4 linked regions of the Arabidopsis thaliana genome follow. The protein of the gene in region 4 purifies or fractionates together with the protein of the main gene of each other region. This does not show direct contact. Each region holds a gene or a part of one and is shown on either strand. Other genes may lie near its edges.

Region 1 (7,679 bases), on a different chromosome or scaffold from region 4:
TGTTATAGATCTCTTGCTCTAAAAACGAAAATCGATCTTCCCTAAATATCGCAAGTGATCTACCATCGCATTGACGATGCCCGTTTTTAGTAGGCAAGATACAATAGTGTTTGAAGCTCACCGTAGAAAAGTCGAAGCTTTGAATAAAATAATCACGAGACTCATGATTATAAGCAACCCAATACAAATTTCCATTCAATGAAACACTATAAGGCGACATAGATAAATTCCAACTATGGAATGCAAATTCGTAAGATTTCCATGCATCGGATCCCAACTCGGTGACACTAGCATTCATGGTTGTATTTGTACAGTAAGACCCTAAGATCTTGTAGTGCTTGTCCTGTCTACTATTGTCGTATCCCATCCCACTGAAATCATAACCTTCATAACTGGATTTGAACCATCTAATCTGTCTCAGCCATGGGTTGCAAATCCCAATCCCATAACAGGTTGCATAAAGAAATAACCCGTCGCAATATTCGACGTGCATGGGCATATAAAGTTTATAACCGGGAATATCTGAGGGCAAGTTATGCACCTCTATAGATGGGCCGTCAAGATTAACGTCCACCGAGCAAATCTTGGATTCGGCAAGCAAGATGAATTGTGGACGGGCGAGACCCAAATCACTGTTGAAGAACCTCCTTTCCTTGAAAAGAGTGTTCCATCTCTTGCAAACACATCTAAATCGAGCGAGAATTTGTATTGGAAGGTGAGAGAGTATCTCTCCCTCCAAATCATACGGCAGGTCATGATCTGGTTGCATCATACCTTTTTTTTAGCTTTATGATAATATATCAGAACAAGATAATATATAGATGGATGTGTATAACAGAAATTCAATGCTTACAGATACTGCTACTATTACTACATGAAGAATATAATAACTATATATATTAATAGATGGGAAAATGAAGAGAAAAGAAAATTTTATTTTTATTTTTTTAACTTTTGTCCATAAATGATTGTAATTAGGAAAGAAAACCTATAAAAAAATGAATGACTGTAGATATGAGGCAATTAGAAAGAGAAAATACATATAATCTGGATGTGAGTGAGTAGATTTGTATCAGAAAATAAATAATTATACCAAAAGTTAGATAAATAAATAAAAAATATTATCCCTTTTTAGAACATGTTTAATTTAATTTAATATATATGAAAAATATACTTTTTACTTCTTAGATACCTATATTTTTTTTGTCAACAAATTATATAATAATTTAAATAGAAAGTATATTATTTGATTATGAAATGAAGTAAAGTAACTTTAGTCATGGAATAAGTATGAAATCTAGCACTGACAGAAGACTTTCTCTCAGAAAATGTAGGGATAAAAGCAGGACAGCAAAATAGTTACGGAGAAAATGTAAGAGGCTGCAACTTTCACATGTATCCTATGATGATTAGTCCGGTCTTGATGATAATTTTGGACATGCAAAAAGAAGAATCAGTTACGTGTATCGTTCTAGTTTAAATCAATAAATTTGTGAATTGTGTTCTACGAACGTTTTGATGATTTTCTTTATAATCCAAAATCGTACACCCAATATGAACCTAAATGCCGCAAGTGATCACAATTCACAAATTGCTAACCACTTTTCAGAAGCACATATATAGCGGATCAGAGGAGCCACGGATCTTCTTCTTTCAGGGTGGTTACCTAGAAGATCACAAAACAAACGGTATCATAGAAAGCTTGATACATTGTTAAGTCAACCAAAGCCATTTTTGATTCCATGAGTTTGACAATCTACTTGATGCAGATCAAGCAAAGAATGGAGAAGAAGACGGACACATGAGAGCCAATGGCATTAGTATAAGCTGCAGAGAAAGCATTGCAGTTGAGAGGCAATAATCATAACTCACTCACTAAATCAAACAGCTGCAAAATCAGGATCCGAGTATTTCCTCAGCCATGCTTATCATGGTTTGGAGGTAAACAGCGATAATACGCATGAGCCTCATACAGTTGGGAGAAGTGGGAAGGCGTCTGGATACAAGCATGAGTAACAACAACTCCAAAAACTTCACTATCACAAAGAAAAATTCCTGCTACGCCAGAAACTGACTTTTTTGTTTTATTGGCTTAGTGTTATTGTTCAAAGAGAGAATATTACTAAACACATGTGAGAGTGTTGTTAGAAAAGAAACAATTTTTTTGTCTCTGTTTGTTTTATAACTTATTGGCCTCAAGTGGTTATCATCATTCATCAACAGCTCTGAGCTACAAGCATAATTCAATTGGACAGTTAAATATTGGATGTACAAGAGTTGCTTCATGAAAATAGTATTTATAATAGCAAAGTTTAACATAAGATAAAGCTTTTATAAGAAAGCTCTCTGTTAATTCGGTTTTTATGCGAATATTCTCGGAAAGTGATTAGACAATGGCATCTCAAAGCTTCCTCATGAGTAGAAAGAGCCTCTGGTCAAGTTCGAAGTGAGAAATATGAGCTGGATCTCCCTGAAGCAACATCAGGAGCCCCCCGAACGAAACATATAACTCTCTGCAAACACATAATTGCAAGATAGAAACCGAAGCATGATGGTTAGATCTGTAAGTTAAATTGGATCTCTTTGGGAAAAAATGATTTTGTTGGTCTAGGTATATGGGATTCTTACGCTTTTGGAGTTTTGCCGTCACGCTCAGAGATCTTGTAAAGCTTCCCGTGCATGATGTATTCATACTTATCTGCAAGTGTTTTCTTTGCTCCCTGTAACAAAGCGAGATGGAAACTAGATTAGATTAGCTAACAACAATCTTGGTTTCATGATTCAAGAGTCAAGACACTAAGTCTTGCTCAAATTCCACATGTTTACTCTTATTCCTAGATAGGCTTCCTGAATCAAGCCAAAGCAATTGTTCTATTAAGCAATTAGATCAAATCCTAATACATGTTCTTGTAATAGAGCGACATGGAAACTAAATGAATGTTCAAATTATCAAAGAAAACAGTCTTGGTTTTCAAAGATAGGTTTTAATTCAATATTCAAGAGACTAAGTATTGCTCAAGTTTTCATATGATTAGTCTTATTCCTATCTCCTGAATCAAGCCAGTGGAATTAGTCATATCGAGCAATTAGCACTTAATGGTATGCCCCAACCAAAACCTTAAGAAAAGTTAACTGGCCTAACTTACTGTAACCATTCATGAGATTTATCCAAGCAAGTAAAAAAGAGTATGCAATATACACCAAAAATCTAACATAGAAAAAGCATGCAGTACCGGAGTAAAGTATCCGGTATCAGGAGTTCCATCGAGATTAAGCGTGGGAGCCATAGCCAGCGTGAACTTATCACCAACAGCCAATGGATAAACCTCAGTGTTAACATCTAAATGCATAAACATTTCCAAGTTGTGGCTCCTTGCTTCAACACGCGTAACTGTGTTACCACAAACACACAGAGACGCAATCAATTTGAAGTCAGAACAAACAAACTTTAGGAGGCTTAAAATTTTAAAAGTTGAGATCTTTTTCACACTAACTTGGATTCCAATTTATCTAAAACTTAAAACAAACACAAGAAACTAGGATTCATATCAGAAACTCGATTTAAGCCATGACAAGCATTACAAATCGTGACTGAGGTTAAAAAAAAAAGTAGATACCTTTATCGAACTTTTTGCCATCAGGGTCTAGCTTATCGACCACGAAGATATCCTCGAACATGATAATATTGCTCGCCATCTACAAACACGGAGATTCAAACCCTAAACACTCTTAATTTCATGAAAATAATCCGATTCGACTGGCATAAAACAACTATATGAGCATCTGGAGAAATCGAAAAGCTGAATTACCTTCAAAGGAGATAGAAAAGACGATTTTTTTCACCAGCTCCGGAGGCTCAAGAGGCAGAGAGAGGAACGGCGGCGAGAAGAGTGTTAAGGAGGGGCAGAGAAGAAGAGAAGCGAGAGAGAAAGGATTTTTTGTTTTTTACTTTTTCATATTATTACATATATTCCTTGTAGTTTGGTTTATTTACATATTTTCCTTATATTTTTACTTATTACAGAAAATACCCTATAGATTTGTGTTTTTCCGAGACATTCCATGTATATTTTGTTGTTTATTACATATGTTGCATTAAAGGAGAGATCAGAAGTTTGAAATATTGGAGTAGGTGCATGGTTTGCTGAGTATGAGCAATAGTTAAACACTAGTTGGTTTGCAAACTGATTTCAATCGAGCGAGAAAAATTGTTGGAAGGTGAGAAAGTATCTCTTCCTCCAATTCCCACGGCTGGTTCTCTGGTTGCATCATATATTTTTAATGGACACGGTCGAAAAGAAAAAAAAGAGTTTATAGATGGATTTGTATAGCAGCGTTGTTGTTTGCTTGCCTTGTCGGTTTAGGGTTTCAGAAAGAAGGATTGGAAAACCCTATTTCCCATTTTACTCATAAGTCCAACTTTTTTTATTAGGCTTTTGCGAACCCAATAAAAAACACGGCCAGTAATATTCCCATTTTACTCAATCGTGCATGTTCAAGAAAAACGATCATATTCATATCCAAAAAAGAATTATTACTTTTTATTGGCATGATTATTAATAATTAAAAACTGGTGAATGGTTAGGAAACGAATAATATAGAGGGGGTGGAGAGAAGTGGACGCCGAGAGCAGTGAGGTGGACACCAGAGCTTCTTCCGTAAAACCCGATGGCCTTGGAGCCTCGTTCTCCTCGAAGCGAGAAGGGCGTCCCGTTCAAGCGTCCGTACTGTGGCATCATGTCTCCCTTGCGCATCCGAAATGTAATGGAGGTGATATGGCTTTCAGTGTAGGTCCCCTCGACGGCTTCAATGTAGTCGCCTCCAGCGATCATAATCTATGCAAGAAATCCATATGATATGTATGATAAAACTATATATAAGTTAGAAACTAATAAATTAAGAAGTAAGAAATCTCATCACGTCACGTACTTCGTCGTCTGGATTATGTGTTGTCGCATTTCCATGACCTGCTCCGGCTTCAATCCGGTTATATTTGGAGTAGTGAAACTTGACAAAGACCGTGTCAAAATCATTTACTCCTACATTTATTTTCTTCACATTGTGGAAGATGCCGTCGTCCCACTCGTTTCCTCCATCGCTCGCTTGTATTCCTCTAGGGGGTGTGAAGCGGGACTCAACCTGCTGCGTTTTACTTCTATTGCTCATCGTGAACGTTGGAACTGGGACCAAACTAGGAACATAGGTACGGTGATGACGAGTAGGATACTCAACCAAATCGTTTATTATAATTTCATGGAACTTATCTCCCTTGGCAATATAAATGCAAGCCTTTTCCTTCTTGTTCAAACAACACAAATGCGAGACTGAGGGTTTTATCGTCGATGAAGTAACTTGGCGGATCATAGCTTATTACTCTTAAACTCGACCATTTAGGAACTGACACTTTCATCAAGTTCATCCACTCCACAGCCTTTCCATTCTCAATTTTAATCTCTTTTTTTGTTACCCAAATCTCTATATTCCTTGTCTCATAGTTTTGCTCTAAATACGAAAATCGATCTCCCCTAAAAACTGCAAGGGACCTAGCATTGCTTGGATCACATTTTTTATTAGGCAAGAGACAATAGGGTTCAAATTTCTCCGTAGAAAAATCAAAGCTTTGAATAAACTGGTCATCAGACGCCATATGGAAAGCAACCCAATACAAAGCTCCATTCAATGATACACTATAGGACGACATAAAATCCCAATCATATGCAAACTCGTACGGTTTCGAAATCCATGCATCGGATACAAACTCGGTGATACTAGCTTTCACGGTTGTATCGCTATAGGGGCAAGACTCAAAGATCTTGTAATGATTTTCGGGTCTAGAATTGTCGTATCCCACCCCATTGTAACGATAATTCACTTTGGATTTGATCCATCTAATCTGTCTCAACAATGGGTTGCATATCCCAATCCCGTTCTCGGTAGCATAAACCACTAACCCGTCGCAATATTCGACCGTCATGAAGAAACCATTATAACCGGGAATATATGAGGGTAAGTTATGGCTATGCACCTCTATGGATGGAACATCAAGATTAACTTCCACCGAGCAAATCTTGGATCTGGCAATCAAGATGAATTATTGTGGATGGGCACGAGCCAAATGATTATTGATAAACCTTCTCTCGTTTGAAAGAGAGTTCCATCGTTTGCAAACAGATCTGAATAGAGCGAGACACTTTGTTGGAATCAAAGTGAGTATTCTTTCCTCCAATTCCCACGGAAGTTGTTCTAGTTGCATTATGTTATCTGTTACGGACGAGTTTACACAATTACACCCCCATAAGAATATATATATATAGATGAATTTTCTATTAGAATTTTATAGCTTACGTTAGTATACTACTATTACATAAAGATATAACAAAATAATAACAACAATAGGTGGAATAAAATGAAAAAGTAACAATATTAATATACCTTTTTTTTTTGGCAAGCAATAAATTAATTTGTTTTGGATGATAATTCATATGTTATCCTATCATAGATTATTTTTTTAATAAAAAATCTAGTGTTATTGGTTATAATAAGAATTGCTAAATCCAATGCTATTGAACTAATGAATTTGAAAGAGTATATTCAAATCCACTTTTATTGATTTTTTTTTTCCAAGATTGGTCTTTAATGATTTTAAAGTGTTCTAGGTATTCAAAAAAAAAAAAAAGTGTTCTAGGTTATTAGGAAAATTCATAAGTTATCAATTTTACTATATTTACCCAAAATCATCTATAACTCACAAAAAAACTCAAATCATTCAAAATAGATAACTAAATCACCCCCTCATAATACAATAATTACTGTAGATGTAAAAATTGAATAGAAAGAAAATATTGGAACAATTGATTTATGGTAAAAAAAAATGGGTGTTTAAAAAAAAAGAATATATATGAGTTAATTAGATTCCAAAACATCAGTTTTTCATACACTCAACGAAAGTGTAATAGGGTAGCTCATTTACTTGCTAAACAGGGTTGTCTCCATTGTAACTATTACTCTGATAATGTTTGTCCCCCTAGTTGGATTCTTGAACAATTGTATCATGACTTTTGTCACTCTTAATCAATAAAATTCACTTTCGACAAAAAAAATAAAAAAAATATGAGTTAATTAGAAAGCTTTATCAATAAACTATTTTAGATCGGATGTACGTAAATAAACTTATTTAGATCCAAAATGAATAATTATACCAAAAGTTATAAAATAAAAAGAAATCTAGAAGCTGTTAAAAAGAAATCTGGAATATAATAGCCCTATTTTAAACAACTTTAATTTAAGTAGAATATTTCAAAAGAAATTAAGTTGGAAACATGAAGATGATGACAAAAACAAAACAAAAAACATGTATGTCTAATCTGCAGTCCACAGATTTGAGCTTCTATCTCCTTGCGTTTCTGATATATTCAGATTTACTTCTACGACTTGTTCGAGACAAAAATATAGGATCTGTGTGATGTGTCTTTCTATGTTTATATACATTCTTCAACTCCACTGCACCCTTTTTTTTTTTTTTTTTTTGTCTTTCTACATGAGTAACTAATGTCAGACCAAACATAGATTATCTGTACATATTTAAGCACAATAACATTGATGCTTAGGTGCCTGTTCCGAGGTAACCATTGCTGCCTGCGGAACTTCCCATTGCGGTGTTCGGTATATCACGGACCAGA
Region 2 (7,087 bases), on a different chromosome or scaffold from region 4:
AAAGCGTCAAAGAGGTTTTGGTAGCCACGAGAGCCGTCCCATACGACGACGGAAGGAGAAGTGAAGAGAGCGTAAGAGAGAGATATGTCACGTGGATTGTCAACGTAGCTGAAGTAAGGATAGATGTTGGCTAGTAACGCTGAGTTCGTACTCGTAAGAAACCTAATTAGCCACATAGGAAGAAATTAAATAATCATTCCACAAGTAACCAGAAATGAAAAATATTGGGAAATAACTAAATCTAATGAATTTTGGTTATTTGGTTTGGTTGGAAAATTACCCGATGACGGGATCGATATACCATCTAACGTCACCACGAAACTCTCCGGAGGAAGGAGGGAAAGAGTTTCCAATCAAAGTCATATCAATGGCGGTAGAAACTTTAATACGATCTTGAAGATTTGCACCTCTTAGAGCATCGTAAACGTTACGCATGGCAGGGAGCACAACATCACCGCCGTTCGACGGAGATACTTCGTTACCTACGGCGATGTACTTGAAGCTAACGGCGGGGTAATAGTTGAGGACGTTGTTTTGGAGCCATGATCTAGCGGAAGAAGGGTTAGTGAGTGAACGAAGATCGGTGTTTGGAACGCCGATGATGACTTCGATACCCGTGTTTCTAAGAGCGTTTAAAGCGGCTTGGTTTGGATCGTAGAGTCTAACACGTCGGATGTTGTTTTGTCTAAAGAGAGCGATTGTGTCTGATTGAGAAGGAAGGTTGTTCCCCATCATTCCATAGCATACACCTACTGATTCTCCACCTAGTTTATCATATAACATAATTAAGGTTAATTATGATTAAGTTTATATATCTATAAAAATTGAAAATGAGAATAAATCATGTGAGATTAAAGAGAGAGAGAGAGAGACTTGTTGGGTTGAGGATGGTTGTGATGAATAGAGCAATAAGGAGGAATAACGTGGTCATATTTGAGATCTTACGTGTTTTAGCAATTGCTAGTTGCCTAATTGGGTTTGTTCTTAGCTCCTTATATACAAATTAACATTGATATGTATGTACTTACAATTTTTTTAGTAGATATATATAGATGCGTATAGATTGTATATAATGTAGAATGGAGTGGCTAATATCTTTGTTTATTAATCAAAGTCAATAAGTCATTAGTCGGGTCAAGTAATCAAGTACATAACGTTAGCTTGAGTGCAAATATGCGTTCAATTTATCAAATCTTATATGCAAAAGAGAATATCTTTTCAAAAAATGGGTAGAGAAATGTCACTTTCCAACTTGAGAAATTAGGACATTGCTTATTTTTGCCAGCATTGACAAATCAACCTTGCTATTTTTTTTGTTTTTTTTTTATCATACGAAATTTGATTTATTTGACTGCGTCTATGTAAATATTTGTTAATGTTTTAGAATGACGAGAAACATGTCTAATTTGGCATATTTGTGTTTTACGTGTAACAAAACTTGTGCAATTTAGATAAGCTCCTAAACAGTGTCATTGAATCAAGTATAATTCCACTCATGAATTGGTTACTGATTTTTTGACTTTATGAACTATGATGGACCAAGTTGGCTATTAGCTAACGTAGTTTTATCATATTTGCTTACAAAAGAAAAAACTTTATTTGAAGATATTGTCATCACTTAACAAGAGCAGCCGTATAATTCGATACGATGACGAAGTAAACACAGCATTATTAAAACAATTTGGTTTAGAAGATTAGATTTATCAACTTTTTATAATATCACACGTTATAGCAAAGTTATAGCAGCCGGCGGCTAGACTCCACGTATACAAATTTTCAACACTATCATGGTTTATGGACGAATTTTCAGATCGGCCCCGCATAAAACGACAAATTTATAATTAGACCCACATAAAAACCAAAATGATCATAAAAGACCCTGAAACAATTCAAGAAACCCGAGAACAGTCTCATAGTATTCATATTTTTACACAGAAAACTCCAAATTGAATTGTATAAAACTCATAAAGCGGAACACAAATACACGTTACATTTGAAAAATGTAGTCTTCTATCAATCTATTCTCTCCAACGGTGACTACAGTTCGGGTTGCAGCAAACGAAAAACAGAGTCATTCCTTCTTCGCCTCTAGCCGTGGCCTGAAAATTCGATGACACACACGAGCTATATCAAACCGAAATAGCCATAAGCACATTAAAAAGCAAGAGAAAGAAATCTCTTTTGATCTTTAAGTTAGATCAGAGAAAAACGAAAGAATGTTTCTTTACTCCTTGATTGATGACGAATTAAAGATTAAGATATAAGATAATGATTCACCTGGAAGAAGACAGCTTCACCGTGTTGACACTTGGCGCATCGCACAGCCTTGGTACGTGGAAGAGTTGGGTCGGAAGCAACGTCAGATAGGATCTGAGTTTGTTCACTTACAGAGTGATGAACCTCGTTTCTGTAAACACAATTGTTATCTGCTGCTTCCTGCAAAGCCAAATAAAAGAATATAAATTTCAAGACCTTCTATCAACAGGACGATAAATAGCTAACAGTAACTCAGTAAGTTTATAACTAATTCGGTTAGCAAGTCCGGGCATTAAGCTAAAGATCCCATACAGAGATTCATCTAGAATGGTTTTCAGTAGCTAACAAAGGCATAATGCTTTGTAATAACAAAACATAACACAAACAGTAGAAACAAAAAAAAACTCAGATTCGGTAACACCAATGGATATTGTTGAAACTCAAATGGTTTTAGAAGTTAAGTTGCAGAAACCCTCTAAACGGTTTTTAAAAGGTCTTGCGTTTGTTCAGAAGTTCTCAAAGAACTCTTTATACTGATAAGCACTACTATCTTAACCAATCAGATTCATGATATGAGAGACAAGGAAAATGATCTAAACTCATTAAATTATCATTCCTTGGTTTACTTCAAGTTCAGACATTCGACCTTTAACCGTATAAGCGATTACAAAGAGTAAAACATCAGAGCTTAAATAAATATCAACACAAATCATATACAAGTGAACAACTAAAGTCTATTGGTTTCAGCCCTAGCTTTGTTTCAACACCACATTGTTCCATTAACACTAAGGAAACCTAATTTTATAAAAGAAAGCATAGTAAACAAAGTTTACCTGGTGATCACAATTACGGCACGCATAGAGGAGGATTGATTGCTCCTTGTCTTCCTTGGGATATAGAATGTTATTACTGAACATTTCAAAAAAAAACAAAATCAAAGGTTCATAAGCTGCAAAAGTGGAGAAAAGTTGGAGCTTTAATCCAATAGAAAACATAAGCAAACCATCCAAAACTAAAATTCCGACAATTAGAGACTTAAGAGAACTGGGTACAATATATAATTCAATATGAGCTAAGAAATGAAAACCCAAATTTCAATTTCAGAAGACTAGTATAAAAGAGCAGAGAACAGATTCGTTTTGACCCCCAAAATAAAAAAAACGAAGAGATTCGTATTTACCATTCGCGACAAAATTTCATAGTACTCATCTTCGCAGAATCTTTAGATAACGAGCTTTTGAATGCTTCTTTGATTTCACAATCAGTCTCTTCGTATCTTTGGCGGGATTTGTTCACTCGGACATGAGAGAGAAGAGGTCAAGCTCTAGTAAAGACTAAAGACTGCGTAGTGGCAATCGGATGTAATTTCATGAACTTTCTCGGGCATTTAGACAATAAATGCGTAAAGCCCATGGGCCGGCCCATATCAGAATTTAACTTGTGGGGTAGAAAAAAATACAAATAAAGAAATACGAAGAGGACAATACGAAATAAATTTGACCCTTTCTTCATTGAAGACTAGTGTACTTTTTCTTACATTAACAACCACATGCATATCCCCATGCACCTTTATATCATTGTGAAAATTATTCGATATTCATTATATAAGTTCTGTTCTATTAAAAATATGAAAGAAATTAAGCACATTATATACTACTAACTTCTGTCAGATTCCAACTGCTGAATTGGTCTGTCTTTTAACTACTCCTGACTCTATAGTGTATACCGACACATCTCTCTAGCACTTGCACTAGCACTAGCAATAGTAACAACATGGTTTATTTGTGTGTTTCCTCTTCATTCATTACAATATCATTACTACTCTTTTGTTCCTTTTTATTACAACTTACTAATAATAGCCATTAGCCAGCCACCTTATGCAATCTTATCCCTTATCACGTATATAGTTTAGTCCAAAACGTTTTGTTTTGCTCAAATAATAATTCATGCATAAAAAACAACAAAAAACACACAATTATACATGCTGATCATAAATTGTATTATGAGAATTTGTTAATCATTTGGTATACTAACATTGCAATTTTACTTGAATATTTGCCAATCTACTTCTTTTATATATACATACATTTATTGACGTACGTATGATTAATTTGACGAGTACATAATATGTAATTGGGTTGTTGAAGTGCACATGCAGTCATGCAGTCACACATACATATATACGTGTTATGTATGTGTATATAGTTGAATTGTTTCTATAAATATGGACACACATACACTAGCTTTCTAATATAGTACCAACTCCATTGAATGTTAAAACTCAGAAGAAAGTGGAGTGATCATATAACGACAATGAAGAATCTCTTTAACTTGTTCCTTATGTTTTTCTTTGCAATGCCAATTCTTTCACTCTCCGAGAATCCAACCAATTTCAGCGAGAGTTGCGAAGACGGGAGTGGAGAAACCGGTTCAAGCTTTGGCATAGGGTTCGATTTGGTTCTTGATTTTGGTTTATACCGGAATAGCTGCCCCGAAGCAGAGTCTATCGTCTACTCGTGGGTGGAAACCACGGTGTTAGAGGATCCAAGAATGGCTGCTTCTCTTCTCCGTCTTCATTTCCACGACTGTTTTGTCAATGCAAGTCACATCTCATCTTAAGTTTGTTTTAATAGTTTTGGTCTATCATCTAATCCCCGTCTTTTATATACCATTGAACCGGGAAGGATTATATTATGTTAGTTAAACCGTGACAAATCTAAATTGTACCGGTTAAGTAGGGAATGAGTACTACGAACCAGAATGTGTTTTTGTTTTTGACTTGCATTATGCATTGCAGGGATGTGATGCTTCGGTGTTGTTAGATGACACAGAAGGACTGGTTGGTGAAAAAACGGCGCCTCCTAATCTAAATTCTCTACGAGGGTTCGAAGTGATTGATTCGATAAAGTCTGATATTGAATCTGTATGTCCAGAGACCGTCTCATGCGCAGACATTCTTGCCATGGCTGCTAGAGATTCAGTCGTTGTGGTAGTTATCATCATATTATAAAGTTGATGAACTCAATTCAAATCGTCTATGTTTAACATTTTTAAATCGGGTTTTTGAAGTCGGGTGGACCAAGGTGGGAGGTGGAAGTAGGAAGAAAAGACAGTAGAACAGCAAGCAAACAGGCAGCAACAAATGGCTTACCCTCACCAAACTCAACCGTATCAACTCTCATCTCTACTTTCCAGAATCTTGGCCTTTCACAAACCGACATGGTCGCTCTTTCCGGTATACATTCTCTTGTACTCTTCTTTATCTTTCTCTAGACCAACCCAAGTTATTGATACTTACACATATGGAAACCAGGTGGACATACATTGGGAAAGGCACGGTGCACTTCGTTTACAGCTCGGTTGCAGCCACTGCAAACTGGACAACCAGCTAACCACGGAGACAACCTTGAGTTCCTCGAGTCACTGCAACAGTTATGCTCGACTGTTGGGCCCAGTGTAGGTATCACTCAGCTTGACTTGGTGACTCCATCAACATTTGACAACCAGTACTATGTAAACCTCCTCTCGGGTGAGGGATTGCTTCCATCAGACCAGGCTTTAGCGGTTCAAGACCCAGGGACAAGGGCGATTGTTGAGACCTACGCAACAGATCAGTCGGTTTTCTTTGAGGATTTTAAGAACGCTATGGTTAAAATGGGAGGGATACCCGGTGGTAGTAATAGCGAGATTAGGAAGAATTGTAGAATGATTAACTAAAAATAAAAGCCCGACTTATTGAATGATATCTAATTATCTATATAAAAATTAAAGAAGTCCACCTACGTAGGACTCTGATTTTACGTAATCATTAGAAGAGCGAACACATATATGAAGATCAGGAAACTACAAATTGATAGATCTCTGAAAATGACAATTAGAGTTGGATTTTGCTAAGATCTAGTCTCATTATAAGTGATGAGCTATCTATGAATGTACATATTCTATTTATATAATTATATATGACTCCTAATCTGGATCAAAGTTTGGTTTACCCAGCTAAGTTACTACTAGTAACACAACATGAGACATAACTTGCGCTAGCTATGTTACAACAGGCCATTGTTTGGCAGCTCTTAAAATGAAAAAGGAGGAGATATCTGATTAGAGAAAAGATAGAATGCAGATGGTCTACGATCGCCTATCTATTATAACTGAAGGGGTTAACTAAAAAAATCAGAGACTAAGGACACTACCATTGCTGCTTTTCCTCTCCTTGACTAATTAGTTCCAGAAATTTCTATCTAGCTACTGAGATAGTTTAGCTCCTCGTCTCATGTACCTGAAGTAGAGTATCGATCAACACAGAGGTAACTTCAACTAAAGAAACCACATACATTGGAATGTGTTTCGGTATGGAGAAAATACAAGAGAGAGGAGAGAAAGGGTAGATATGAACCTCAAGCTTTATTCTTCCACATGAGTTCTTGGGGAGATTGACGGCTCTGGGAAAAAGAGATATGATTGTAAAGAGAATTAAGGAAAAAAACGGTTTCAACGAAAAAGAACATCTGAATACCAAAGGACGAATTATGAACAGAGAGAAGTTCTGAATCACTGATAAAAACCATAACTACCTGTTGAGTTCTTGATATATCATTCATTGAAGCAGCTCCCACGGGTATATGTGTCCGAGCATAATCCTAGACAATCCAAACAGAATAGAAAATAAGCTCTGCCTAAACCATTTTTAACCAAGGAAGGAAGTCATATCACTGATGTTTCTTTTTAAAATGACATTAAATCCAAGAACTCATTATGTTCTGTGATTAAATTCAAAGGTACAGAAGGTATGGGAAATTGTTAATACAAAATGAGATATATACCTGAGCAT
Region 3 (7,972 bases), on a different chromosome or scaffold from region 4:
TATATATATATATATATAAACAGTTGTTACAATCCCAATCATCATAAAATCTGTAGAGTCCTCTTCCAATCTTAACATCGTAGACAACGTTTGGATTTCTGCAAGTGGAGTGGGTACTTATTACTCTCCAGGTATTCCTGTCCTGCATGAAGTTGTTGTCAACTGTATAGAGTCCGTCTTCCTTAATAAGTATAGTGAAAGAGCTTGTTTCAAGGAACAGTAAATGGTTGTTGTCATAAAGCGTTGTCCACTCAGCAGCATTAAGCCAACTTTGGGTTGATGCTTTAAGTACATGTGCGACATCTGGCAAATATAGCATCAAAATATATTAGATTTGTAGATATATAAATAACTATCTTAGTTTTGCTACAATGTCTTCTTCAATTAGAATTTTCCAAGCATCAGTTCTATCACAAACCTTCTCCTAGATCTCCCTAGAATCCAGATCTGCTACATTCTTAGATTTTTAAATCTTGCCTAAGTGTTACAAATTCCATAGATCTTGCATTCCCTAAATCTTGATGTTCTAAAATTTCTAAATACAATGCCTCGATTTCCCAAATTCGCCACAGTATCTCGATGATCTCCTTCAAAACTAAAAGAGTTTTTAACTAACCAAATACTCAAATACTCCTAATTTGTATTCTTAACCCTTTAACCATAGCCTAAACAATACCCAATTTTTAAAATAATAAATAAACACTTACATTGTTTTTATTGCTTTCTTTGTAAACTATGAATTTTTTTTTGTATATATATATAATTTTATATAGATTTCACTATACATATGAAGAAAATTAATCAGACACATATTATTAGTTGCACTCTCATTTTCTTGGAAGTAGGAAAAATGATATAACTTGTTTAATTGTACAAACATTACCCAATTTTTTTTATTTTATTTTTGTCGTATTGTTTTGGCCGAACCATTTTCTTCTTTTATAAAATGGGAATTTTTGCATTCTATTTTCGTAGACAAAGAGTAAATTAATCATTTGTGAGAGATAATAATAAACTTTGGATGTTCTTGTCTAGTAGCTTAAAATAAAATTGAGTATTTTTGGTTTAGATAAATGTATAAATGGTGTCTAATGTATTCTTACCATTGGATGTTTGACAAATTACACATTTCTCCATTTTCTTTAGAGTAATCAAAGGGATAAGCATTGTAAGAGTTTATAACGATGGTCCTTGTGATGATCTAAATAATGCATTAGGCAGTGCTTGTTGATTAAAGAATGATGAAATCCTTTAACACTCACATGTTAAAATATTTGTTAACATCTTGTCCTTAATATTGTTAAAGAAACTTAACTAAACTTGTTAACATTTTGATTATGGGTGTCAAAATGGGTCAAAATTTATGGGTCAACTCAATTCAACTCAACCCATGAACTCTAATGAGTTCAAAATTTTGACTCAAATGAGTTGATGGGTCAAATGAGTTGATGAGTCAATTGGTTTGATGAGTAAAATTAGTTGGGTTGTAATGGTTAATGGTACTATGAGATCATTTCAAATTTTTTGATACATGGTGTTTTCCTCCCAAATATATGACTATAATATCACTAAATACTATGAGATCTCGTAGAGTTGTTGAGTACGATAAAAGAATCTATGAAAAAAGAACTTAAATAAAGAGGTATACGTTTGACAAAAAAAAAAAGAAAAAAGAAAAAGGAAAAGGTATAAAAAAAAACATTTGAGTTGGGCTTATATGGGCCTGTTTGAAATTTGGTGACATTACTTTTCGCCAAAAGAATTAAAAAGGCCCATATAGGCCCAACTTTAAACATTACTCTAATATTTATATCTTTCTCACTTTTGCTTTATTCTGATTTCTTCTCCTATCTCCTTCTCCGGCGAAGAAATTGAAAATTCATTATCCCTAAAACCCTAATAAAGGTCCAGAGAGTCGTCAGAAACCACCGATTAGCTTTTGAAATGGACGGTGCCACATACCAAAGATTCCCAAAGATCAAGATCCGTGAGCTTAAAGATGATTACGCCAAGTTCGAGCTTCGTGAAACCGACGTTTCTATGGCCAACGCTCTCCGTCGCGTAATGATCTCCGAAGTCCCTACCGTCGCAATAGATCTAGTCGAAATCGAGGTTAATTCATCTGTACTCAACGACGAGTTCATTGCTCATCGATTAGGTCTCATTCCTCTCACTAGCGAACGTGCTATGAGCATGCGTTTCTCTCGAGATTGTGATGCTTGTGATGGAGATGGACAATGCGAGTTTTGCTCTGTTGAGTTTCGGCTTAGTTCTAAGTGTGTTACTGATCAAACCCTAGATGTTACTAGTAGGGATTTGTACAGTGCTGATCCTACTGTTACTCCTGTGGATTTCACTATTGACTCGTCTGTATCTGATTCAAGCGAGCACAAGTAAGTCCCTTTTCATCATTAGATTGTTAAATGCAGAAATGTGGTGTTTCTTTTGTCATTATGAATCGATTGGAGTTGTGAAACGTTAGAGATTAAGCAATGGTGAAACAAAATTTGCATCTTTTAGCATTCCGAGGATGAAAAATACTTCCTTTCGATGGCCCTTTGCATGACTCTTCTTGTTCGTGATTGTTTGATGTTTAATTATGGTGGTTGTGTGGGTTAAAGACTCTGTTTTTGGTTTCGGGTTTCAGGGGAATTATCATTGTGAAACTGCGTCGGGGACAAGAGTTGAAGCTTAGAGCGATAGCGAGGAAAGGGATTGGGAAAGATCATGCGAAATGGTCTCCTGCAGCTACTGTTACGTTTATGTATGAGCCTGACATAATTATTAATGAAGATATGATGGATACTTTGTCAGACGAGGAAAAGATCGACTTGATTGAGAGCAGTCCTACCAAAGTGTTTGGCATGGATCCAGTCACCAGACAGGTTAGTTTTCACGTTTTGGAAGAATGCAGCTATACAAGTTTATAGCTTTGAGACTTAAATATGATTGAACTACTTTATAGACTGCCATGCCTTGAAATATATATATGTGATGTGGTTAGTGCATTTGCTCTTTTCTGTGCTTCTCTTTCTGTTAGATAGCACTACTTAGCTCTTTAGGAGAATTACGCCAGTCATCGGAATGAATCAAATAACTGCTAAACTTCTGGTACCAAACTGAAACATCTTTCTATATCTAATCACTGCAAATTATATGAATCACTTGGAGTATCTCTGTGCCAGTTGAACTTTTGTTTGTGATTTCATGTTAGAGATTTCAAATTATTCGAATGGTAAAGGGAATAAAGAAAGGAGAAGATATAGTACTTGTAGTACCTCTGTACCAGTTGAATTTTCTTGGAGATTTCATGTTAATGGTTCAGTGTTTACTAGGACTCACCACAACTGACAATTTTCCTTTGACCCGCTAGAGAACATTGTATATCATTATAACAGTTACAGTAGTTTATCGTTGGAATTTAGTATGCCATTTCTTTTGAAGTCTGTTGCTTGAATCATCACAACTGTAATTTTTATACTTTGCTTCTTAGGTTGTAGTGGTTGATCCTGAAGCATACACTTACGATGAAGAAGTGATCAAGAAAGCTGAAGCAATGGGGAAACCGGGACTCATTGAGATCAGTCCGAAAGATGACAGTTTTATATTCACTGTTGAGTCCACAGGTGCAGTGAAGGCTTCCCAACTGGTACTAAATGCCATTGATCTTCTGAAGCAGAAGCTTGATGCAGTCCGTCTCTCAGATGACACCGTAGAAGCGGATGATCAGTTTGGTGAACTCGGTGCCCATATGCGTGGAGGATGAACTCAAGTGATTAATTCGAGCTCTTTGTTATACCTGTTTGTTTCAGGTTTTGAGTTTCTTCTGGAGCAGACTGATATTAACCGTAGTGGCACTGTCTTGTTTGATAACATGTGAAGTGGCAGTCTTCTATTTGTTCTGGACCTCTGATCCCTCTGTTCCTGAATCTTGTTAAGTTTGGTTGTTGTTAGTTGTTAGACTCGCTCGTAACGAAAATAAACGCAAGGATTAAATTCAATACATTGAACAAGTATGATTAAAATGGAACAAGTATGTAGTTTAATCTTAAAATTCGTACCATTAACTGAAATGGAATGAAAGACTTTTGCATAGTGGATACCCAATTTAAAGCTCTTAAGTTCTTGAACTTCGATCACACAATAAGTTATGGTGAGTAGCTTCCCTTGGAATGAAACAAGAGACAAAAACTCAAAAGTTTTCGAGCTAATTCATAGGTCCGAAATGATGTCATGGATCTTAGATAAGAGAATTCCGGCATTGATTACTTGGACTAATTATTAACAATCAGATTCAATCAGTAAATCTCTCAATTCTGCTTCCAAAGTGGCAGTGATGACCGCTCGTATCGCTAGTCCTTACGCCATGAGAGGGGATGCCACATTTTCACGCATTGCTGAGTGGTGAGTCGAAAGTCCAGTGGTCAAATAGGTCCAGCCACAATTTTATTTTTTAAAATTATAGGCCACCACATTTTCGTAAGAAAGTAAGTATATCTATTTAGTTGGATCAATTATGGGATCGGCACATTAAAGTTTGTGCTTTTGTGGAGATAGAAAAATTTCACAGTATTCACAAATTGAGGTACTTTTACCTAATGTCGTTTTACAGTTTCATTTTTTACAACTTTGTAAAAAAAAATTTCATTTTGTTTCTTTTTTCTTGTTCCACTATTGCAGCATCGTCTACAACATATCCCATTAATAATTTTAAATCAAACGCAATAGGAGAGATACACGTCTCCGATTAATATGCATTCGTTTCTTGGATTGGCTTTCTCTCCGTAATCAGCTCAAATTCATTGGAGAGCCGGTGAATTTTGTCGCCGTCTCTTTCTTACACGACCTCCGTGTAAACAACAATTCTCCCCGCTCACTCTTCAATTCAATTTTATCGGAGCTCAAGATTGGAGCCCTTGGGTTCCATAGATACTATCTTCTTATGGTATACATTTCTTCTATGAGAGCTTGTTTAATGGAAACCATCAACATGATTAAAAGATTTGAAGTTTCTGGAAAAAATAAAGAGAAGAAGTAAAACGATGAAGAAGAAGAAGCAAGGAGAAGAAGTCAAACATAAGGGCAAAACAGTCAATTTGCGTATATAAAAGTTCCTTTTTTACAAACAACGTGAAAGTATCCATTTTCAAATATTTTTCAGAAAAAGTACCTATATCAACAATAACCCACTATTTAGTTAGTTTGATATAAATATTTTTTTAATTAAAAATGCGTTTTTCATTATCTAGAAGAGATTTTCTTATCTTGAAAACATATTCTTTAGTAATATATAATAAGTAAAAAAAACAAATATTAAAAACAGATAATATTATTAGAAAAACATATGAAAACAAAGAAAAAACTTATTTTGATTTTCTTTTACATTAAGCATGCACATAGTTGATACTCTATGAGTATCATTAACAATTTTTTAGTATTAATTTTAATATTTATTTATTGTTTGAGATTTTTTATGATACTGGTAATAAATTTGTTTCCAATGGTGAGACCGATATTGGTATCATTAAAAAAATAAATTATTTGGAAAATCAAAAAATAAATATATAAAAACTTAGGATTATAAAATTACTGCAAAATTATATCGCATAATCACGAAGAGCCTGCAAAATTACTCACTCGCAGAAAATATAACTAGTTAGCTAAAACAATAGAAAGACTATCGGAGAGAATAATAGAATTTTTTTTTTCCAGAAAAAACCAGTTTCACAGACGAATCATGAGCCTCCACATCACCCGATACTGGGTATCAAAAGAATCATTACACTGATACGGTATTAGGCCTAAATGTCTTGTCTGATTTATTAAAAACTTATTTATGGCTCTTGATACTCTAAATGTATCACCTATGTACATGGTCTTAGTTTTTGTTACTAATATTTTGTTTCGAATTTTGAGTATTATTTTTGAAATATTACCATATAGCCAATTTTTAAAAACATGTCCTAGACCAAGACTAGTCTAAGCACGGCACTAGTCCAACCTAAACTTGCTGCTTTGATATCATTCTCCAGGATGCATCAGTTTACATTTGATATCATACTCCGGAAAGAGAAGAAGATCAAACCTTCCTGCCAGTCCAGAAGAAGGATTGATCTGCGACTTTCCGACTTGAGGTTCTTGTCACTCTTTGGCCTTCTTAACCATTTAATCATGTATTTTTTAAATGACTTGAGTTATAAAGAAGCTTTTAGATAATTTTGGGCAAATTGAGAAAAGTTTCGTGATGGTGTGAAATCTCCTTCTAGTCCACATGAAACAATGAGATTTAGATCTTTGTATGTCACTAAGAAAATCTACTAAATTAAACCATCTAAAGTCTTTCCAAAATCATTCTTTCTATAACACTAGACTTTAGAAGAATTTTTTAAATTTTATGATTTAATAACAAAAAAATTATCATTTTAACACAATCCGTTTCAAATGCTTTGATTAAATAAACCCGCACAATTTTTTTAAAAAACCATTACCAATATTTTTTCGGGATTTAAAATATAAAGAAGGGTAACAATGCAATTAAGATGTTCCAACTATCACATTAAACTCATCACTTGCAACGAGTTATTCCCTTCCATAGTTTCTTAGAGAAAAGTGGGATTAATTACGAGATCGGTACATTAAAGTGTACGCCTTTATGGATATAGGAACATCTCACTGTACTTACAAATTTAGGTACTTCTACGTTATATGATGATTGTTTTACCCTTCAATTTAATTGAGTTTCATCTCCTTGTAGTACCTCTCTCTCTCTCTCTCTCTCTCTCTCTCTCTCTCTCTCTCTCTCTCTCTCTCTCTCTCTCTCTCTCTCTCTCGGCATAGAATCTACTGCCTCTAAACTCGCCATTGATGTCCATTACTTCTCCATCGCCTTACAAAGTTCAGATCTATGGACTATGATTGGCCAATCTTCTTCCTCGACGATGAAGGTGGTAATTCTCCATAGCTTCTTTGAATTTGAATTGCTGGATCTGAATCATAATTCCATCATCTCTCGCTTTATTTTAAAAGAGGAATAAGAAACAATTGAAATTTTTAATTGATTCTAATTATATAAGATTAGAATCTTTGGGTTCCCTATATAGTTTCCCCTTAGGGTTTAGCTTTCTCCCATCAAAAAGCTTTTAACTGATTTTATTGGGTTTATTGGAATTGTATGGTGATAAAGATGTTGAGTTCGTCGGAGAAGATGGAGTGAAAATTTAGGGGCAATATCGTCTTTTCATTTGCCAAAAACTGCCTAACCTCATAAGCCTAATCATAATGTGCTCTTTAAAAATTTATGGCCCAAAATGTACCCAATATTATAAAGGGTTTATTGGCAAAGTAGACACTTTTTCAAAAATAATTTGTAAAGTAGGTAATTTTTTTTAAAATTAGAGAGATAGACACTTTTTTTGTTTTTTGTGAGATAGAGAATTTGTCTAATAGACTAAAAGACAAAATACATATCAAATACTAAAATACCCTTTATCTTGAGAGTAAATAAAAATTATATGAGAAACCATTTTTACTTTATTTTGTTTGTCTTTATCTTTTTATTTTTTTTTATTTTAGTTTTCTTAAATATTAAAAAATATATATTCTTTTTAAAAAAAAATTACATTGACTTTTAGAGTATTTATCTATCATCATTATAATGCACAAACATTTAAAACATCGTTTTGTACACTAACCATTATTCGTTGGTGTACAAGTGTGTACACCGATATTTCATAAATCATCACCGACTTCTCTTATACTTATTAATATAAGTAATATTGTTTTTAATATTTTACAAACATAATGATTGTATAAACCAAATATTATTATTCAATATAATGGTGTACATGATGGTGTACATAATTAAGTTACTCTTAATGGTGTACAAAATGATTGAAATTATTATGACGATTGGTGGATAGAATGATATATACAACTTTTAAATGATAACATACAAGATTGGTAGACAAAGTGT
Region 4 (8,093 bases):
AAGTTTCAAGAAGGCTGATTGGCTGGTCCAGCGCGCTGTAAGCTGCCTCAGATAATGCACAAGCAGAAAGTGAGCCAAGTGCCTCACCTGTGATATCTTCAACGGGACCATCAGTCTCATAAGTAAACTGGACTAACTGGTTTCCGAAAGAATTTCTCACAGTGCCATCATAAGCAGCGTATATGTCCCGCATGAAGAACATTAATCTTCTGCTCAGTGTCCCCGGGAGATCAGCATTACCACTGAATGAACTGTCACGACTTGTAACTGAATGAACAAAAGATTCCAATGGATTCAGACCCGTTAGAAACGAGTTCTCAATGACTCCATAAGGAACATATGACTCAGTAGTGGTACTGTCTTTTCCCTTTGCGCCACGAAGTGGACTGTTCGGGTCATTCCAAGCAGCGCAAGTCAGTTCACGCGGAAACCCAAAGGACAAAGAAACTGCTGAATTCTGCAGACCGATACACATGCTGTGCTGAACCAGCTTCCCGATATTCCCTTTGCTGCCGGCTTTCGACATGATCAAAAAAGAGTTGGATTGATCACCATACCTATATGCTAGTGCCTGAACATCTCTGTAAGCATCCTTAAAAGCACTGACTGCAAGTTCGCTTAATGTAGCGGATTTTTGTCTCTCATAGCAGAATCGGGCCAAATCCGATACTGAATCCTCTTCCTTATCCTCCCCATTAACTGCAAGGAAATCTCTCCAAGATTCAACCATTAGCTGTTGCTTGTTGCAAACTTGCTCAGCTTCCCGCAACCCGTATGATATCTCTTCAGTCAAGTTTTTTCGAGACTGCAGATCAGAGGAAAGGTACAAATCCGCCAAGGACACACTCAAACCGCGCATCAGCAACCACTGAGATAGCATTTCTTGAGCGGAATAGATGATATCAAGAACTTTCCCTTTGTCGTGTTTGAGCAATCTCTCGATGAAATTCCCTTCTCCATCTCTGAGCCAAGCAGATCCTTCAGAGAAAGACAAAAGCTCGCCGTTACTCACAACTACATTATTCAGAGGATAAGTGTAGTCAAACCCGGGAGGAAACAGCATTCCGAATAGCTGCATTCCCGTCCATTGAGGCTCAGTGCTCGAAGGAGAAGCTTTGATAATTGCAGGCGGAGGAAGCTGAAATGGGCAATACATTTGAAGCTGCTGCATCTGAGCTCGATTAAGATAACAGTTCTTCTCAACATTGACCAGATAAGCCGCCGTCAAGCTATCTTGTCCTAAAGAAAGCAAGTTCCGACCATTCTGTCTGTTGATAAGCTGCTTATCCAAAGCAACAAGCTCATCAAGCTCGACCTTTGCTTGAATGGACTGAGGAACGTAACCGTGGAGACAATCTCCATCAAAATCACCACGGAACGGCAAACAGCAGATCGGGTTCAAGGAGACAACAGAAGTCGTTGGGAGGATTCTAACTGTCATTGCAATAAGCGAATGCTGATGAATCGAAGGCGGTCTGTTCATCAGCACAGTGTCTCCATCCATTAAACTCCGGAATATTTTGTCTCCGGTTTGGAGGTCATTGACTTGAATAGCCACCAATCTATCTCCTCTTCTCACATGCATCTCTTTATTGTCCAACAGTGTGGGGACAAAGGAAGTGACAAGCCTTTCTTTATTGCACTGGTTGAGATGCTCTGATACTTGAAGCCTTTTTGCGATACTCTCGGGTATGCCAATCTCGTTGAGCTTCAAGGACGGATCACCAACAACTACTGTCCGGAATGTATGATCACTTCTTTTACCGAGCAGCACGTCTTTCATGAACCTTAGACCGCAAAGTTTTGGTGTATCAGACTTCTTCTGGTACGGATTTGCGGAATCTTTACTCGAAGACACAGTTTCCGAAAAGAGCTGTGCAAAAAACAAGAAATACTACTAACCTTCACAGAACAGAAAGAAGAGTTTAAATCTATCAGGAACCACTAACTTACTCTGGAATATTGCATGCATTCCATCACACGAGAACTCAATTCAAGTGTGTTTCCCTCAAAGCCGACTAGTTTCTTGTAGATCCGAGTCCGTTCATCCTTCAAAAATGTGACAGAAACTCGAAAAGATAAGAGAAATACCATAGTATATGATAACAAATTATATAAACAAGCGTTTTTAGCTTACAAATATTAGCCGAGCTCCGTTGAACTGATGAACTATTTCGGTTACACGGTAACCATTTGGTGTAACAGGAAAAGATGTCAGACCAAGAGAGTTGAACATAGGGATATCCTTCTTGATGAGCCTCTGATCAATCCCTAATAACAGAGCATAAACCTGCAAAAAGGTGAAATTTTCAGAAAACTATATATAGTAAGAAGTCATGGAGATGGTACATTTCACTCTTCTATACCTGTGCATGCGTTATTATTCGCCTTGTTGGTTTCAAACAGCTCTCGTCGATATTAGAGTCTTGCGGCAAAAAACTCCAATAGTCAGGAGGCAATGTTAACACTCCCCGTTTCTTGAGTTTCATCAGACTCTCTTCGTTTACTTCAACAACGATTCCGGATCGCCTGAAGACTTCTTTAGTAGTTACCCTAAACTTCATTAGAGGATAACCGGTATTCAACTGATATATAACAACAACAAAAACCGAAAATTAGTGTTGGAACAAAGTTTTAAACTGAGAAAATTAGTTGCAATCATATATTCTTACAGTGCAGTATCTACATCTCTCAGGCTGGTCTTCGGTAATCTATATCAAGCAAAAATGACATTAGTATATGTAGTTCCAAAACACACAAACCAACAAAGGATTTGGAAAGACTAGTGAACCTGAAACTGCTTTTTTCGAATGTATTTACACCCCGGACAGATTTTGTTTAACAACGCAGCTACCTCCTTGAGGAAATACGGGTTTATTATCGAGTACGCGAAGTTTATAACCCCGAAATGCCCTAAAACAGAGAGAAAAGTAGCAAACTCAGGGAACTAATCATAAAATGAGCTAAAAGATTGGAACAATATTTGCCAAAACCAGATTCTTTATGATACCTTCGCAAACTTTTCGATCTTTGCTGCCACAGGTTCTGCAGACAGAATCCGGATTCGGTAATCCTAGCCGAGAATCAGTCACCTGATTCGGTGCTTCAACCTCTAGCACAGACATTTTATCCTATAATAAAGTACCATTACATTAAATATTTGCTCCATCTACTCATAAACAAATCAAGAAGAATAAATAAGGACAACACTTACTCGATCATTGTTGTTTGAAATGCTAAAACCTATCGAGGTTAGAGTTCCCACGGGAACCTGAAGCTCCTCACAATCGTCTTCCATGTTGAAGAGTTTCCTACAAGAAAAAAAACCATCAGTAAGGAAAATTTAGATACGTAAGTAAAAACATCAGTTTTTATAAGCAAGTTTTAGTGACCAATTCCAATGTGCAGAATATGAAACAAAACCAATATTTAGCATTTAGACAGACAAAACCAAAAAACTCGCTCTGACCAATACTAACCACTGAGAAACAGACAACTTCACAAACTATCTCTGTGAGTGGCCACTTAGAATCTAGCATATATCCAAAGAAAAGAGAGAACATGTTCAGGGAAGAAGATTCTAGCTCAAAAATATTTGACGAACACACAAAATAGTTCAAACTTTGAACACACATTATTGAAAATTAACACTTACTTCTGTAACATAAAACAGAGCTAAAACTCACGGATAAATCGTCGAAAAGATCAGTTTCTATCTGTACCCTCTATCATCAAATCTAATGTGCAGCAGAATATGAAACAAAAACCAATCTTTAGCATTTCATTGACCAGAACACAAAAACCAAAGCAAACTCTCTCTGATCAAAAAATTGACCAAAGAGAAACAGACACTTTTGTTAAGGGACAAAAGTGTTACCACAATCTTCCTCTGTGACTGGCCTATCAAAAACAAGTTATAGATTCGAAATTGAATTTACTAATAGAATCTAGCATGAACCCAAAAAAATAAGAGAATACATGTTCAGAAAAAGAAGAAAGAAAAAAAACTGCAGAACATACACACAAAAAGGTTCAATCTTTGAACATACACTATTCATGGATTAAAAAAAAAAAAATTCACTGACCAAAAAAAAAAAAGGACAAATTTTCCAAATGTTCTTCTAAAGGACTCACACAAACCCTTAGTGCAAAAACATTCGCCGCCTTAAGATGATCTCTAAACGAAAGAAATCGATTTCTCATAAGAACATGCATAAACCAAAGTACTTAACTTTTCACAATCATCCAAAGTAAACAAAGTTCATAGAAACAAAATCGGAGTTCAAAGACAACGATCGATCAAATTTAAACAAAAGAACCGTGATAAGGAATCAGACACAGTGATCAATCAAAAAAAAAAAGAACTCAAATTGTTTCAAAGAGATAAAAAGAAAATTACCGAAAAAGGTTTTAAAAAAAAAAACGAAAGAAAAACCAGAAGAGAATTGAGGAAGAACAACAATGTAGTTACTTACTCGTTTCGTCGAACAGAGAATCCTCACTATGTAATGATCCAATTGAAACAGTGCACAGACAAAAACTTCTGATCCTTAGCTCCGACGGAAGATGCCGGAGAAGAAGTTGAAGAAGAGACTCTAAAGAAAGAACAAAAAAAAAGAGAGGAAAAAAAAATCGAAATCGGAGGCTTTTGAGAAGCCGCCGTTTGTATTCCCAAAGGAAACGGGAAAAAGTGAGAAAGCAGAGAAAACGAAAAAAAAACTCTTCTCTAAGTCCAATGGGGACTTTGGAATGTGAGACACCAAAAAAAAAAAAAAAAGAAGAAGAAAGAGTGTAAATACCGAAACTACCCCTTGACCTGTACCTCTATTTACCTACTTTACGAGTACACCTTTTACCTTTTGGAAATCTTTTTACTTCCTCGGTTGTATTATTTTAATTACTTTATGATTTTCTGTTTCTGCGAATTTTACCTTATTTGTATAAACTCTGAAACTGGGAAGAAAAGAAAAAGTTGAAATATCCTTCCTTAAGTATATTATATTAGCTGTATTAGTTTTTTACTTTTGGCCTAATTTTAAAACTGACAAAAAGTTATTAGAATAATTAATACTTTTTATTAGTTTAATGTAATATTTAAATAAATAAAAATAAGTGTATAACTAAATTTTCATCTTAGCAAAAAAAAAAAATCCTAGTGGTTTTTATTTCTAGCTTGATTTTTGGTTCATAACTATAATATGAATAGCGGGAAAAAAAAATATAATTTGAACCAAAAACAAATTCCATTTCTTTTCTTATATGATTTTGCGATTTTTCTAAATACTAGTTATAATCTCTAAATAATCTAAAATTACATAATTATACGAATTTATTTGTGAAGTTTGTGTTAGTATCAATCAAAGTATGATATGTAAAATAAAATTTTGTTTTACGTATAGTTGAGGCTATAAATTTGTTATCTTTGATTCGAAACATTTATATTTCGTTAAAATATATTTTTGTTCGATAAAAAAATTATGTGTAATTAAAATATATTTTTTGTTTGAAAAACAATTACAATTAGTTAGCTGCTTAGACAATTATCATATAATTTTATAAGAGGCGAAATGTGATAAATAACTAAATTAATTGAGACAAAAATAGATTAAAATTTATAAGATCTAGAATCTTATTTGAGAGTATGTGAATGTCCATTAATAAATCAAGATATATAAGTGAAATCAGTTTTTCTTGTCGGCGACGTGAAATTAGATTCTTGTTTACGTGAAGTTCACGCTTTCGTTTGTAAAACAGTTACATAGTTAGTTTAGTGGTTATTTATTAAAACAGTTTAACATATAATTATTACTAAAATATACTCCTTCTATTTAAAATTAGTTGTCGTTTAAGGTTTTTTGTCGGCGGCGTGAAATTGAATTTTTGTTTACGTGAAGTTCACGCTTTCGTTTGTAAAACAGTTATATAGTTAGTTTAGTGGTTAGTTATTAAAATAGTTTTGTTTAAAATTATTTGTCGTTTAAGATTTTTTGCAGTGAAAATAAAAAAAAACAATTAAATTTTCTACTTTACCCTTGTTCAATATAGTTTCTAAAAAAATTATTGGTCAAGACATTAATACTCACATTTTTATTAAACATTTGCATTAAAAAACTAAAAACGATAATTATTGTGAGATTAAATTTAAGTGCTAAAATGATAATTAAATTAAAACAAAATGAGTATTTGTTTTGAAAAACATGTAGTAGAATAAACTAGACTTAAAAATGTCCCAGTAAATTTTCTTATTAACCTTATAAACTGTAAACATTTGGGGTAGTCTAGTTAATAAAACTATTTATAATGCCAGAAATAAATAAATAAAATTGTGAGAAAAACTATTATTGAGTTTGACAACTTGATGACCCATTATGTAGGCTCACATCACCTGACTAGACACTAGACTACTAAAAATAAGGATATAATAAATTTTCTTCACCTATGATTGAACAAAAATTAACAGTTGCTTTTCAAATCCAAGCATGTTTAGAATAAAAATTTCGTCGATTAATTCATTACTACTATATGTTAAGTTAACAATTTGAAAATAAGGTTTGTGTTGATTCGTGATCTCTCATTTACAGCTTTCTCCTGAAGTCTTCAAAGAATCGTACAAAGGTCGAAGTGTGACGACAGCAGTCAAAGAGGGGTACAACTGTAAACTCATCATTTTGTGTGCAATATATTATTCTTAACTCAAAATTATACGTTTCTTTGTTCGCATTTAAAGTTGCATGCATTAAAACGTTTGGTTTACGTTAAAAATAATTAAGCTATTGGACGTTTTTGATAATCATTTTTTTTCATTTACTACAATTCATGCACGAGTCTGGATTTGTTAATTGTAACACGGCAACTACAATATAACACATCATCATGAAAGCTACAAAGTAAAAACTCTAGTTCTCAACAAGTAATGTAACCGTTTGTAATACAAGAAATCTTTGCTTTCATATCTAAATTTTGTTTCAAACATATCACTTCACCAAACGGGATCATACATTCATACATTACCAAAAAATTTAACTTCAACACTAATTTTCTTTCAAAGTGGTTAACTTAGAAGACTAACAATCGTAAACATTAGAATCGGAAAAGATTTAGACAAATTCAATCTTGATTTCATTCATATCTTACTTGAGAAAAGTCACAATACAAATTAAGATGCGTAATTTCTACGCTGCTTTCTTTCCTTTTTGCATTGGAACCTGATCAACCCATCAACATGAATCGACAATTGGTATTCATTATTCGTTGTATTATTATTCTTTGATTCCTTTATTTTTTTGCCTAATTTGTCAACTTCTAAGGTGCGTTAATCAATACCGAATTTCAAGCATTTTTGAATCATTTACCGTTTACACTGATTCATGAAAGAAAGACAAACAGTACTTGTATTAACTACGAAACAAAATTTAAACCAAGATTGAAAAGTAAGTAAATTTATACTTCGAAAATTGTGGAAGTAAAACAAAAAAAAAAAAAACCAAGGGTCCGCTTTTTGTAAAGCGACCTATAATTTTCCACTAGAATCTCATGTTCTGATGTTGTAGGAAGTACCTTTTTTTTAGTTTCAATATTTTTTTCTTTTTATCACAACTTGTAATAATGAGATTAAGATTCTGGTTGCACTATTAAAATAATGATGTATGTATCTGTTTCTGACTCATCGTATGGTATTGTTCCCTAATCCCTATCAAATACCACTCTCTCTGACTATATATATGCATGGCATTTTTATATTCACATAGATAAGGACATCATTTTTGTAATGTGTTTATACATAGACTATGTCACAATTTAAAAATGGAAACAACTTGAATTTGCAGATATGGATCGAATATCTCCAGTAAGAAATCTACATTAACGAGTTTTGCAGAATGCAGAGTACTGCTATACATTAGGGAGATAGAAAAATGTTTGTGTCAGTTAATTTTTTTGAAATATCGTTGTAACTTTTAGCCAATCCTCTCATGTAAAATAGGCAACCGGGTCGTGCCATTGGCAATAAAAGTTAACTTCATGCATGGTCCTACTTCTGCGATACATAAAACTAAAAGGATTGCTTTAACGAGTTTGCCAAATAGCCGCACGAG

Evidence for each region.
Region 1: the proteins of NRPD1A (region 4) and NRPB8B purify together in Arabidopsis thaliana (affinity purification with mass spectrometry; 2 studies listed by BioGRID, with this or other methods). This does not show direct contact.
Region 2: the proteins of NRPD1A (region 4) and NRPB9B purify together in Arabidopsis thaliana (affinity purification with mass spectrometry, with the first as the bait; one study listed by BioGRID). This does not show direct contact.
Region 3: the proteins of NRPD1A (region 4) and NRPB3 purify together in Arabidopsis thaliana (affinity purification with mass spectrometry; 2 studies listed by BioGRID, with this or other methods). This does not show direct contact.

What each region holds. Positions count from the first base shown.
Region 1 is NC_003074.8:22,012,646-22,020,324, reverse strand, and holds NRPB8B (RNA polymerase Rpb8), read right to left. Parts: upstream 3,950-7,679; 5' UTR 3,810-3,949; intron 3,697-3,809; coding exon 3,618-3,696; intron 3,392-3,617; coding exon 3,234-3,391; intron 2,721-3,233; coding exon 2,629-2,720; intron 2,514-2,628; coding exon 2,402-2,513; 3' UTR 1,964-2,401; downstream 1-1,963. Other genes in the region: AT3G59610 (F-box family protein / jacalin lectin family protein), read right to left, coding at 1-772; AT3G59590 (jacalin lectin family protein), read right to left, coding at 4,557-4,835, 4,930-5,295, 5,375-6,067, 6,132-6,158; AT3G59580 (Plant regulator RWP-RK family protein), read right to left, coding at 7,604-7,679. UniProt on the Arabidopsis thaliana protein: DNA-dependent RNA polymerase catalyzes the transcription of DNA into RNA using the four ribonucleoside triphosphates as substrates. Component of RNA polymerase II which synthesizes mRNA precursors and many functional non-coding RNAs.
Region 2 is NC_003075.7:9,200,511-9,207,597, forward strand, and holds NRPB9B (RNA polymerases M/15 Kd subunit), read right to left. Parts: upstream 3,306-7,087; 5' UTR 3,252-3,305; coding exon 3,090-3,251; intron 2,437-3,089; coding exon 2,278-2,436; intron 2,100-2,277; coding exon 2,019-2,099; 3' UTR 1,842-2,018; downstream 1-1,841. Other genes in the region: AT4G16260 (Glycosyl hydrolase superfamily protein), read right to left, coding at 1-162, 281-764, 874-931; AT4G16270 (peroxidase superfamily protein), read left to right, coding at 4,570-4,854, 5,054-5,245, 5,326-5,491, 5,570-5,973; flowering time control protein FCA, read right to left, coding at 6,654-6,698, 6,831-6,896, 7,080-7,087. UniProt on the Arabidopsis thaliana protein: DNA-dependent RNA polymerase catalyzes the transcription of DNA into RNA using the four ribonucleoside triphosphates as substrates. Component of RNA polymerase II which synthesizes mRNA precursors and many functional non-coding RNAs.
Region 3 is NC_003071.7:6,731,717-6,739,688, forward strand, and holds NRPB3 (DNA-directed RNA polymerase family protein), read left to right. Parts: upstream 1-1,817; 5' UTR 1,818-1,944; coding exon 1,945-2,393; intron 2,394-2,647; coding exon 2,648-2,885; coding exon of another isoform or gene 2,886-2,930; exon of another isoform or gene 2,931-3,040; coding exon of another isoform or gene 3,041-3,088; exon of another isoform or gene 3,089-3,493; coding exon 3,494-3,766; 3' UTR 3,767-4,103; downstream 4,104-7,972. UniProt on the Arabidopsis thaliana protein: DNA-dependent RNA polymerase catalyzes the transcription of DNA into RNA using the four ribonucleoside triphosphates as substrates. Component of RNA polymerase II which synthesizes mRNA precursors and many functional non-coding RNAs.
Region 4 is NC_003070.9:23,357,829-23,365,921, forward strand, and holds the start of NRPD1A (nuclear RNA polymerase D1A), read right to left. Parts: upstream 4,660-8,093; 5' UTR 4,609-4,659; exon of another isoform or gene 4,476-4,608; intron 4,365-4,475; 5' UTR 4,320-4,364; intron 3,312-4,319; 5' UTR 3,299-3,311; coding exon 3,215-3,298; intron 3,132-3,214; coding exon 3,011-3,131; intron 2,914-3,010; coding exon 2,792-2,913; intron 2,712-2,791; coding exon 2,673-2,711; intron 2,586-2,672; coding exon 2,367-2,585; intron 2,291-2,366; coding exon 2,138-2,290; intron 2,050-2,137; coding exon 1,954-2,049; intron 1,904-1,953; exon of another isoform or gene 1,874-1,903; coding exon 1-1,873. UniProt on the Arabidopsis thaliana protein: DNA-dependent RNA polymerase catalyzes the transcription of DNA into RNA using the four ribonucleoside triphosphates as substrates. Largest and catalytic component of RNA polymerase IV which mediates 24-nt short-interfering RNAs (siRNA) accumulation.